2 linked regions of the Drosophila melanogaster genome follow. Changing the gene in region 1 together with any one later gene gives a genetic interaction. Each region holds a gene or a part of one and is shown in the gene's direction. Other genes may lie near its edges.

Region 1 (7,690 bases):
TGACCCAGCTTGTTGCACGATTGACACTTGTAGTTCTCCGACTCCAGCACCTGGAACCGAATGGATTGCATTACCAAAAGGCGTCATATGAATCTCAAAATGAAGTTCGGAACAAGCTTAATGAGTATTTTTGGTTACCCACCTGACAGCTGGCCTGGTGCTCGAACTGATCGTCCTCGCACAGGAATCCGTTGCAGAAGGAGCACTTGAAGATGCGCCCACCGTGCTCCCAGACACCGCGTTCGCACTCCAGGCAGGTCGCATTCTGCAGCGGACACGTGCAGGCGTGGTTTTGGAGACACTTGCGTCCGTGGCAAACCCAAGCCTCGCAGAAGTCGCAGATGGCGCCCACCATTCCGAGGCCCGTGGTGTAGACGCCCGGATGTTTGACCACGCAGTCGCCGGTCTTTAGCATGCACTTGATTTTCCCGCACTGGGCGCAAATGGGTAATCTCTGAATGCTCTGGCAGAAATAGCAGAAGGCTCTCGACTTCTGCTTCTTCTCGCACTTGTCGCACTCCATTGGTGCATTGCAGGGCAAATCCGCAAGAGGCACCTCTCTGCTGCGGATCTCCTTGAGGCGAAGCTTCTGCTTCTCGGCCTTCTTACGCTGCCCAGTCTTCTTTTTCGGCATTTTTGAAATCAAGGAATTAGAAAACTTATTTCCTTACGTGTGCGGCAGTGTGGCTGCTGCGGGTGCGCCGAAAAATACCACAAAAAGCTTTCGAATATTCCGCTAAATATGTAGCTACATCTTGAAAATAGCTACAAAAAATGCGTTAAATTAGCATCGTGGAGTTAGCGGCGACGGCGGAGCCGAGTAATTTAACACATCATTTTTCTGGCCAGCGTGCATTTTGGAATATGCTCTGCGAGTGGAGATATTCCTTGAAAAGTAGCTAGCCGATTTTTTTATTGCATATTTTATATACTTTCTGAGTCCTATAAACTTTAGTCGTACATAGATAGTTAGATCTCTTAAATAGTTCGATTTATTAAGATTTTTGCATTTGTATTTTTTTTGGAATTTACCTATAAATAGCGAAAAATTAAATAAATAAATAAGATTCTCATTTTCCATATTTCACCGTTCTGCCATAGACGCTAATTTGACCCACATAGATTTTCAGTGGAAACAAGTGGAAGCAACAACCGATTAGTGTAACCAAATACCTTTGCTTTTATTTAGGTCTAGTATTTTTGTAAGGTCTGTCTACGGCTTTCCTTTCCACAGGAAAATATATTTTCAGTTTTAGGGAAGGGGTGCTACAGTGAGCGTCTTTCGTTCCCAGTGTCGTTATTTCTATAGTATTGCTGAGATATATATCAGAGCAGTAAAGATATTTAAATATAAGTTCTTCGAAATGGGTGGTCACGACAACTGGAACAATGGTCAAAATGAGGAGCAAGATGTAAGTAGCACACAAAACCGCGACTGCACAGGGAAAAAACTCAGTTCGGCCATAATCCCAATATATATATATTTTGGTGATCAACGCGCTTTTACCCATGCGGCAACTAAAGTTGATGTGCTAAAGCATTTCGTTGCGGTTTTGTTACTTAAGACTAAGACTAACAGTAGTTGTATCTTAATAGTGCTAGGGAGTACGATGCTGTCGGTATTGGTTTCTCTTTTAGCTTTTTAGTGCAAAAGGCGTGATCAAGAATACACATGTTACACACATTTTTTAAGGCATGGTGAAAAGAAACAGGGCAGATATTGTAAAAGTATTGTATTGACAAGGGTGTCTGTCAACTTATCGTTATCGTTCTAGGTAGTATCGAATAGGTGCTGGGTTTAATCGGGTTGTAGAAACGGTCACACTGTATTCAGTTTTTTCATTCGTCTCGTGTGTCAGGGGACTTTCTCCATTTGCAATAGCAAAAAAAATAGTTAGATTAGAAGTTGTTCAACTTTTGCATTAGTAAAATGGTGAACTCGAACCAGAACCAGAACGGCAACTCCAATGGCCATGATGATGTAAGTAGTGGATATTAAGGGTCTAGAAATTTCCTGTAAGCTGGTGTCTCGCCTTGCCGGTCGCCATTTTGAAAATTACGCATGTGTCTCAAGGGCGGAAAGTGAGGTTATGGCCATTGATAAAATCAATAATTTAGGACTTTCCTCAGGACTCCATCACCGAGCCGGAGCATATGCGCAAGCTGTTCATCGGTGGCTTGGACTACCGTACCACCGACGAGAACCTAAAGGCTCACTTCGAGAAATGGGGCAACATCGTGGACGTGGTGGTCATGAAGGATCCGCGCACAAAGCGTTCCCGCGGATTCGGATTCATCACCTATTCCCACTCGAGCATGATTGATGAGGCCCAAAAGTCGCGTCCCCACAAGATCGACGGTCGAGTGGTGGAGCCCAAGCGCGCCGTTCCCCGTCAGGACATTGATTCCCCGAATGCCGGAGCCACCGTAAAGAAACTCTTTGTTGGCGCCCTCAAGGACGACCATGATGAGCAGAGCATCCGCGACTACTTCCAGCACTTTGGCAACATCGTCGACATCAACATAGTCATTGACAAGGAGACTGGCAAGAAACGCGGATTCGCCTTCGTCGAGTTCGACGACTACGATCCCGTGGACAAAGTTGTGTGTAAGTACAACGCTTTTCCTAATCTAGACAATATCAAATATCCTTTAAGAATGATTTATCTCTTCGAGAGTAGACTGTTAGGAAAATCACATTGCCATGTTCTTAGATTTATACAATACAGATTGAATTATCTGCACAGGAAACGAATATTAACCCCATTTGTGTACGCGGCGTTCGTGTAGAAAAAAAGTATGACATGCAACCACCCCTAATCTATATGCTCAATCAGCTCTGGCACATTGTAGGGCTTCTCGTAAATGTCCATCAGCGTCGGATAAACGAATGCGCACTATAAGCAAGAAATTTCGATAAAATTGCAATTATTACAATATATCCACAGTCCCAGCTCCGCATAGCAATGTTCGATGTGCTTGTGCGGCGTTTGTGACTGTAAGAATAAATTCCAGCCAGTATTATATCATTGTTGTTGGTGCTCTTCGTGCATCAACGATGAAAGAGTATATGGCACACTATAGCTTGAATCTAAAACTGTTTCCTAATATCACAGTACTGACAAATTAACTGGTTTGAAACCATCACCAGGGTAGTTTTTTTTTAAACGCTGTGAGATGAATTAAAGCGTCGGCTAAGCTATGTTATGCGAATGTAAGCATTGCGCCTATTCAGTGTAACACGCAGCCTCGTTACAATAGTTCAATTAATTGCTATTATGGAAATCGATACACAGTCCCAGCTCCGCATAGCAATGTTCGATGTGCTCATGCGGCGTTTGTGACTGTAAGATAAAAGACCCAGCCCATATTATATCGTGTTGTTGGCGCTGTTCGTGCATCAACGATGAAAGAGTATAAGGCACAATATCACATTGAATTACCAACTATATGAAAAGAATGAGTATCTAAATGCCTTCGCTTACTTGAATATACTGACAAATCCACAGAATGGTGAATGTTATTTAGCGTGAATATATCTCCTAAAATTAGCTACGATTCCACAGTCCCAGCTCCGCACAGCAATGTTCGATGTGCTCGTGCGGCGTTTGTGACTGTTAGAATAAATTCCAGCCAGTATTATATCATTGTTGTTGGTGCTCTTCGTGCATCAACGATGAAAGAGTATAAGGCACACCTTGATTATCGAACCGATTAAACAGAAAGTTTCTAGATCAGCCCCTTCGTGGACGTCACAGTACTGACAAATTGACGGGCTTGAAAAAGTCGCCTGTATGGTTTTTATTTAAACGCTGTGAGATTAATTTAAGCGTCGGCTAAGCTATGTGATGCGAATGTATATTATAAATCAATTCTGTGTAACACGCAGCCTCGTTACAACTGCAAATCAAATGCACCGAAATGGTGAATGTGTACTATCCGATATCGATCCTAATTTTAGCTAAAATTCCACAGTCCCAGCTCCGCATAGCAATGTTCGATGTGCTCGTGCGGCGTTTGTGACTGTAAGATGAAATCCCAGCCAGTATTATATTGTTGTTGTTGGTGGTGTTTGTGCACCAATGATGAAAGAGTATATGGCACACTATCCTCCGGATGCACCACATAGGGAAGTTCATTTTCGAATACCACTAATAGCATGCTTTCCCTCTTTATTTTTGCAGTGCAAAAGCAGCATCAGCTGAATGGCAAAATGGTGGACGTAAAGAAGGCCTTGCCCAAGCAGAATGACCAACAGGGAGGTGGCGGAGGACGCGGTGGTCCGGGTGGTCGTGCCGGTGGAAACCGCGGAAACATGGGCGGTGGAAACTACGGCAACCAGAATGGTGGCGGCAACTGGGTAAGAACTTATTGATCGCCATCAATTCGATTTGAGGCTTATTACTGGTTAATTGGCATTGCAGAACAACGGTGGCAACAACTGGGGCAACAACCGCGGGGGTAACGACAACTGGGGCAACAACAGCTTCGGTGGTGGCGGCGGCGGCGGTGGTGGTTATGGCGGTGGCAACAACAGCTGGGGCAATAACAATCCGTGGGACAATGGCAATGGAGGCGGCAACTTTGGAGGCGGCGGCAACAATTGGAACAATGGTGGCAATGATTTTGGAGGCTACCAGCAGAACTATGGCGGCGGTCCGCAGCGAGGTGGCGGCAACTTCAACAACAATCGCATGCAGCCCTACCAAGGAGGTGGTGGATTCAAAGCAGGTGAGCAACAGCACGTCTGTTGATGCATTACTGATAACAACTAGATAGCAAGACACAGTACCCTGACACCTAACTGTTAGAGCGTCGATAGAGTTTGGCAGTTAGCTTATTAAACGCTGTGAGATCAACTGACGATGGCCTTCGCTATGTTATGCGTATGTAAGATAATCCCAGTACGACGTAACACGCAGCCACGTTACAGTTTTTTCATGAACAGTCACCACCAGTATAGAAACTAGACTAGAAAGACGATTGGATATGTTCCTAACGATCCTGGGTTTTCTTTTAGGCGGTGGCAATCAAGGCAACTATGGCGGAAACAATCAGGGCTTCAATAACGGTGGCAACAACCGCAGATATTGAGAGAGATTCCGGACGAGGTGAGACATCCAAATAACCACTACTAACACAAAAATATACATAGTCCAAGGCGAATTCAGGCCATAACTAACCGCTTATCTATCCCGTATGACCATTAATCTTTCGCTTGATTTGACAAACATATGTTGTGTGTTTTTTTTTTTTTATAATAGCGCCCTTATCGGCATTTTTGGTAGTTTATAAAGCATATTGAGACTAAAAAGCAAAACGGCTGAGACAGTCCGACCCACCTTACTCAACAAACTTATATACGTATTTACACTTTTAAGTATTTAGAGAACAAAAACCCATCAACCAATTAAGAACTCCTTTTCATACCAATTGTTTTAAATAACGTTTCTCATTTATCGACATTTTATAGGTGATAAAGTAAAAGTCGCTCAGTATAATCCCAAAATTCAAAGTCAAGTAAACGATACGCAATTCAATGATCAATATGATGAAGTATGAACGCACGTTCATAGTCCTAAGAAGTTTTCCGAGCACCACAAACCAAACATTACAGATTGATTGATCAGGATCAGTGCAGTGCAGTGAAGTCGTAAGAAGTTTGGTTCAGTCTTGGATTAGAACAGAAAGAGAGATCAGTACCAAGCAAGACCAGACCAATACAGAGTGCAGTGCAGTGCAGAGCAGTGTGTGAGCTAAACAGAAGAAACACAGCAAGTGGCAGTACACGTACACAGAAGGTGACCAGGATTCCATTCAATTTGTCTTTGCAAGCGATGATAAATTGAATGTCAAGAGGCGCATCGAAAACTATCCAATACCCACAGAATTGTAATCTATAATTTGCAACCCATATGTAGCAGCCCATATAAGTAACATTGTAATTAGATCCACAAAGCCGACGACAGGCCAAACATTTGTATCTCCACCACACGAGCAACCAACCAACCAACCTACTTAAAACAACCAGTCATAAACGAATCAGCTATGTAAAACTTCAAGGCGGCAGCCGAGAGATATGTTTCTTTGGTTGCAGACAGCTCTCCAGTCCATCGGCTGCCGGCAACTTTTGATAATCAGAGCAGAAAACACAAAATATATAAAAACATGTATTACATTTTACAACTTTACTAGGCTAAGTTCTCATAGAATTAAATCGAGTAGAGCGTGCGGAGCGACTTCTGCATCCATCCGCACGCTACCCTAGTCTTAATAATTTTACTATTCAAGTTCTAAGCGAACCTGACCGTGTGTGGAGGAATCTAGATACTTAGATTTTTGAATAAGTGTCGACATGGATATAACCTCTTCCGCTGCTTAGATGTAACCGATCAACAAACAACCTTTATTGTAATTTATACCTTTTAGCAAGCAGTCTGTCTGAGGAGTCAGCGCAATTATACTTAACAAAATTTACATTTTAATGTAGCTAAAAAATACAAGATGCAAAAAAAAAAAATAAGCAAGTGTCCCGCAATTGATGTAAACTCTGACGAAAGAACAAAAAGTATATAGCTAAGCCAAAGCCTCGTAGTTTTCTATATTTCTGTAGCAGCATCAGCAAAAGGATCTCGATCAGAATGAGAGTGTATTGCAGAGGTAACAAGGTGCAGCAAGTCTGACCAGGTCCAAAAGCCAGCCAAGAATATGTACTTTACTATAGCATTTGTTGTGGGCGGGCCATTAACGTCGTTCGAGAGTTCTCCTTTCACTCGCTTAACAGGAATCATTTTCCCCTTTTATTTGATTTGCCCCCCGCCTGCTGTACCATGTCATTTACAACCATGTATATTATTGTAATTTCTGTTGCCAGTTGGCTGCGAAAAGTATGCGAAGCGCTGAAAGACTGCCGCCGCGCTACTGAATGCAGCCACGGAAGGTGCCCGCGTTTGCTAGCAACTCCGGTCGCTGGGTTTCGGTTCCCTCTGGGTAAGTAATCCTCCGCAGATCCCAAATCCGGAAAAAGTTGTAACTTTCAGGTGGTCTGAATCGGCTCGTCGCACCTGAGGATGGAATGGATGTTGAACGGTTTCCCCTCTGCACCATCGTAAATATACGACTTTTATTTATTACTTCATTTTATTTTCATTATTACTATCTTTGAATAAAGAAATTTCAGAATACCAAACAAAATGATTTTCGTTTCATTTTGAATTAAAATTTCACCAGTGGGGGAAAATAACGGTATTTGAACAATAATGGCGTTGCGAATGTAACGTGATTGGCGTAAAATCGCAAATTCCGTTTTATATAGTTGAATGATTTTCAAAGCATTCATTTTGTTGCATTTAATGTTAAATTTTAATTAGTCCACTGAAAATAATAAATCATGATAAATGAGCACTGTGTCTGTCACTTTGTTGTTGGTTTGAGTCTTCTCTAAGTGGTGAATAAGTTTTCTGCGATATATTTAAGCGGTCGCAATACGGTCATACTAATTGCATTTCTTTTAGGCAGGGGGCGTTAACTTGCGAATTAATGACTATAACTAACTAAAACACCGACTAAGGACCTCTGAAATGGACTCTACTGCCACTCGCACGCTGCCCTTTGTGTACAAGTATAAAAATCATAAAGGCCAAGACTGCGAATCCCGGCTGGACATCACTTTTCCCTTTGACCAGGAAAA
Region 2 (4,772 bases), on another chromosome or scaffold:
CTGTTGATTAGTATAAGTTCATGCTTTTGAGGTGACCTTGAAAAGTTTACTAACATCGCGTTTTCGTCGCTCGCTTTTTCCAAGCGATTATTCGGCTCTATGCATTTTTGTTGTTGCTTGTTTTTTTTGCCAACCCCCGAAACGCCACCCCCGATTATTCCTAGTATTTTCGCTGACGCAAATGAGAAAAGAGAAAGCTCTACATGTACAGTGCAGACTCCCATTGCGTTAAAGTTCATCAACGAAATCTAAATGCTCGGGATTTACACCTTTTTCTGAAAATTTATTTAGTAAAATAAATTTCACTTAATATCTGGTCTCTTTCTCTCTCTATCTCTTTATGTGAAAATCGATCGTTTAACTTATTGAGAGTTGACAGTACTTTTTTCGAGTATTTCTAGGTTATGGTCAAGGCGAAATCTAAGCAAATTTGAAGGCTACGCTCAGGTACGAAGAGCGATGAAGAGAAACGCCTCTTCTTTGTAGAATTCTACTGATAATTCGATTTTTGTTTTTGTGTTTTTTTTTTTTGCTTCTCCTTGCAAAGCTTTTTCGTTTGTTTACGCAAAAAGGAGAGAAAGAGATGGTGCAAACAAATTTCGCGGAGAGATAAAGGTGTGTTGAACTTTAGCAAAAGTACATTTCATAAATTATATTTATTTTGGTTTTTAGCTAGCTGTGAATTTGCTTTTGCGTTTTCCTCAGATGCAAGTGTGTGTGCAAATTATGTATGACCTTTTTTGTATTGTTTTTGCGACGCTTTCAAAACAAACAACTGCGCTCTCTCTCTCTCCCTCTCTCGCTCTCTTGTGTCCATTCTCAGAGTCTTTGCACGTGTATGCAGCGGTTTCTCTTCCTCTTTTCAACACGTAAGCTTGAGCAAAATACCACAATCACATAAATATATACATAGGTGCGAGTGACAGTGCCACATTAAGGGTTAAAAACTGAAAAAATTTGATTTGACCACTGACGTCAACGAAATAACATTTTCTTGCCAAACGTGATTATAAAAACATAAAACAGCAATTACTTTCCGCCGCTTCTTACCTTTTTGAGTATTAAATACATTTATAAAAGTTTCGCAGACGCCTTTAACTTGATTTTCCTTGGTAATATGCACTATTATTTTTACCGCACGAAGGACAGGAAAAAATCCTTTCACTTAACGTAAAACTTGGCGCTCGTTATGATAGTTTTACACTTTAAAAAAAAATTAGAGAAAATAGTTGACAAATTGCTGGAAGATTTGTTTTTTTTTTCTTTTTGTTTGTTGTTGTTCCTTCGGCGGTTATATTTGCAATTCGCATTGCAACGGACACAGTGTTGGTATTTCTCGTGCTGGTATTTAAATACTAGCGACAATGAGAGGTAAAATACCACATGTAATGGTCACACTTTCGCCCGCCGAATTCAAGGCAATGCAATTTTGAATTTGTTATTGATTCATTCTCAAACGAATACCAACATATATTTGAATATATTTCGATATATAAACGCTTCAATTCACTACGCTTCAATCGAAGTGTGTGGTATTTATAAAGTGCGATATTCATCACAGCTATCGCTCATCCCCAAAACACCGGTATGCAAGAATTCAGGTCACACTTGATTTTTCCGATATTCCAAAAGGTTTACCAATCTACGGCAAATCGCCGCAGAGCAAGTGCATCCGTGCTGACCAATCGACTCGGCAAGGCTTTGTGCTTAAACTGCGCCAGGATGTCGAAGTCGCCGGATGGCGGGATTTCCGAAATAGAAACGGAGGAGGAGCCGGAAAATCTGGCGAACTCCCTAGATGATTCGTGGCGTGGAGTTTCCATGGAGGCTATACATCGTAATCGGCAGCCTTTCGAATTGGAGAATTTGCCACCAGTGACTGCCGGCAATCTCCACCGGGTTATGTACCAGCTGCCAATTCGTGAAACACCGCCACGCCCCTACAAATCACCGGGAAAGTGGGACTCCGAGCATGTGCGTCTGCCCTGTGCGCCCGAGTCGAAATATCCGAGGGAGAATCCGGATGGCAGCACCACCATCGATTTTCGCTGGGAAATGATCGAACGAGCCCTTCTGCAGCCCATAAAGACGTGTGAGGAACTGCAGGCGGCGATAATATCATATAATACCACCTATAGGGATCAGTGGCACTTTCGTGCCCTTCATCAACTTCTCGACGAGGAACTGGACGAGAGCGAAACACGGGTTTTCTTCGAGGATCTATTGCCGCGCATTATCCGATTGGCATTGCGGCTACCGGACTTGATTCAATCGCCAGTTCCGCTGCTCAAGCACCACAAGAACGCCTCATTGAGCCTGAGCCAACAGCAGATCTCCTGCCTGTTGGCCAATGCCTTCCTGTGCACCTTTCCCCGGAGAAACACCCTCAAGAGGAAGTCCGAGTACAGCACTTTTCCAGACATCAACTTTAACAGGTGAGCGTCCACCAGATTCGTATATCTTCAGTCGAAGTATGTTAAATATATTCGATTCCATCAAAAGGCTTTACCAATCGACGGGACCGGCAGTTCTGGAGAAGCTTAAATGCATTATGCACTATTTTCGTCGCGTGTGTCCCACAGAGCGGGATGCCAGCAATGTGCCCACCGGTGTGGTAACCTTTGTTCGTCGGAGCGGATTGCCGGAACATCTGATCGACTGGAGCCAAAGTGCGGCGCCGTTGGGTGATGTGCCATTGCACGTGGATGCCGAGGGAACAATCGAGGATGAGGGCATTGGACTGCTGCAAGTAGACTTTGCCAACAAATATTTGGGTGGCGGTGTCTTGGGACATGGCTGCGTTCAGGAGGAGATACGCTTTGTTATCTGTCCGGAGCTATTGGTGGGTAAACTCTTTACGGAGTGTCTGCGACCATTCGAGGCCCTGGTGATGTTGGGCGCCGAAAGGTATAGTAACTATACGGGATATGCCGGAAGCTTCGAGTGGTCCGGCAACTTTGAGGATTCAACGCCAAGAGATAGCTCAGGTCGTCGACAAACGGCCATTGTGGCAATCGATGCCCTACATTTTGCCCAGTCACATCATCAATATCGCGAGGATCTCATGGAAAGGGAGCTGAACAAGGCGTACATTGGATTTGTTCACTGGATGGTGACGCCGCCACCGGGTGTGGCAACTGGTAACTGGGGTTGCGGCGCATTCGGCGGTGACTCCTATCTGAAAGCCCTGCTGCAACTTATGGTCTGCGCCCAGTTGGGCAGACCTTTGGCCTACTATACCTTTGGAAATGTGGAGTTTAGGGATGATTTTCATGAAATGTGGCTGTTGTTTCGAAATGACGGGACTACGGTGCAGCAGCTTTGGAGTATTTTAAGGTCGTACAGTAGGCTTATTAAGGAGAAGAGCTCCAAGGAGCCGCGTGAGAATAAGGCATCCAAAAAGAAGCTATATGATTTTATTAAAGAGGAACTTAAGAAGGTCAGAGATGTGCCCGGAGAGGGAGCATCCGCCGAAGCTGGAAGCTCTAGAGTAGCTGGATTAGGCGAAGGAAAATCAGAAACATCAGCGAAATCCTCGCCAGAACTCAACAAGCAACCCGCCCGACCGCAAATCACCATAACGCAACAAAGTACCGATCTATTGCCCGCGCAATTATCGCAAGATAACTCAAATTCTTCGGAAGATCAGGCCCTTCTTATGCTGTCGGACGATGAGGAGGCCAATGCCATGATGGAGGCCGCTAGTCTGGAGGCTAAAAGCAGCGTAGAAATAAGCAACAGCAGCACAACGTCCAAAACGAGCAGTACAGCCACGAAATCAATGGGTTCAGGTGGCCGCCAGTTGAGCCTGCTCGAGATGCTGGACACCCATTATGAAAAGGGTTCGGCCTCGAAGAGGCCACGAAAATCACCCAACTGCAGCAAGGCTGAGGGTTCAGCAAAGAGTCGTAAGGAGATCGATGTGACCGACAAGGACGAAAAGGACGATATTGTTGACTAGGTGATATTGCACTACAGGATTGTTACTGCCCCCAAAATTGAAGAGGTATAAAATGTATTGTAGATAACTTTAAGGACATATTTAGGGCATTTTAAAGTAGGATCATTGTAAGTCGAATAAAGTGAAATTTTTTTTTTTTTTTTAATTATACTATTCTAATCTGCAAAGACAATTTTACTGTTAAATTTGTATAACATTGATTGATTAATATAATTTGTTATATCATGCAAATCTAGCTTTTATTATGCGAAATTTGTAGTTAAAGCCAGTAAAGTTTCTTTTTATTTAACCGAAACCTTTTGTTTATTTTATTTGACCACAACAAGAACATCAACAACAACAACCACGAAAAAAAAAGCGAATATATATTTGTTTGTTCGTATATATATATATATATCTAAGCAGATCCAACGTCGATGGCCAATCAGTAGTGATTGCGTCGCTTGTTGGATGGACAATACTCGGCGTATTCCTCCCAGGTGCAGCCCGCCTTGGTGCAGCATTCGTTCGATATCGATGGAGTGTTTCCATCCGATCGACGACTTCGCAGAAACATGTTGGCATAGTTCACGTGCAGCCAGGTGGAGCCATCAGCTGGAAAGACAGCAGGTGGTATCATATCGATATCAATGGATCTATAGCATAGATGTACATGTGTACATCGCTTGAAATTCCAATCGTCTTTGGTTGGAATGGATTTCGATTCAACAACTTACGTTCCGTGGTTGTCTTCTTGATCCAAGCCTCATCATTGCCCGTCCTCTTTTTGTTGCGCCGTGTCAGTCGGTAAATGTCCTTCTCGCAGGCCCAA

What was found. Genes that interact genetically often act in the same process or in processes that back each other up.
Region 2: of Hrb98DE (region 1) and Parg, changing one enhances a phenotype caused by changing the other (phenotypic enhancement), as found in Drosophila melanogaster (one study listed by BioGRID).

The regions. Positions count from the first base shown.
Region 1 is NT_033777.3:28,598,588-28,606,277, forward strand, and holds Hrb98DE (heterogeneous nuclear ribonucleoprotein at 98DE), read left to right. Parts: upstream 1-1,819; 5' UTR 1,820-1,930; coding exon 1,931-1,981; intron 1,982-2,118; coding exon 2,119-2,608; intron 2,609-2,941; exon of another isoform or gene 2,942-3,081; intron 3,082-3,110; exon of another isoform or gene 3,111-3,260; intron 3,261-3,289; exon of another isoform or gene 3,290-3,429; intron 3,430-3,559; exon of another isoform or gene 3,560-3,699; intron 3,700-3,752; exon of another isoform or gene 3,753-3,902; intron 3,903-3,968; exon of another isoform or gene 3,969-4,108; intron 4,109-4,184; coding exon 4,185-4,360; intron 4,361-4,424; coding exon 4,425-4,731; intron 4,732-4,783; exon of another isoform or gene 4,784-4,935; intron 4,936-5,020; coding exon 5,021-5,094; 3' UTR 5,095-5,111; intron 5,112-5,473; exon of another isoform or gene 5,474-6,508; intron 6,509-6,874; 3' UTR 6,875-7,190; downstream 7,191-7,690. Other genes in the region: Noa36, read right to left, coding at 1-50, 143-634; CG9986 (uncharacterized protein), read left to right, coding at 7,581-7,690. UniProt on the Drosophila melanogaster protein: This protein is a component of ribonucleosomes.
Region 2 is NC_004354.4:3,668,318-3,673,089, reverse strand, and holds Parg (Poly(ADP-ribose) glycohydrolase), read left to right. Parts: upstream 1-1,587; 5' UTR 1,588-1,722; coding exon 1,723-2,435; intron 2,436-2,502; coding exon 2,503-3,961; 3' UTR 3,962-4,253; downstream 4,254-4,772. Other genes in the region: Ilp7 (Insulin-like peptide 7), read right to left, coding at 4,386-4,555, 4,678-4,772.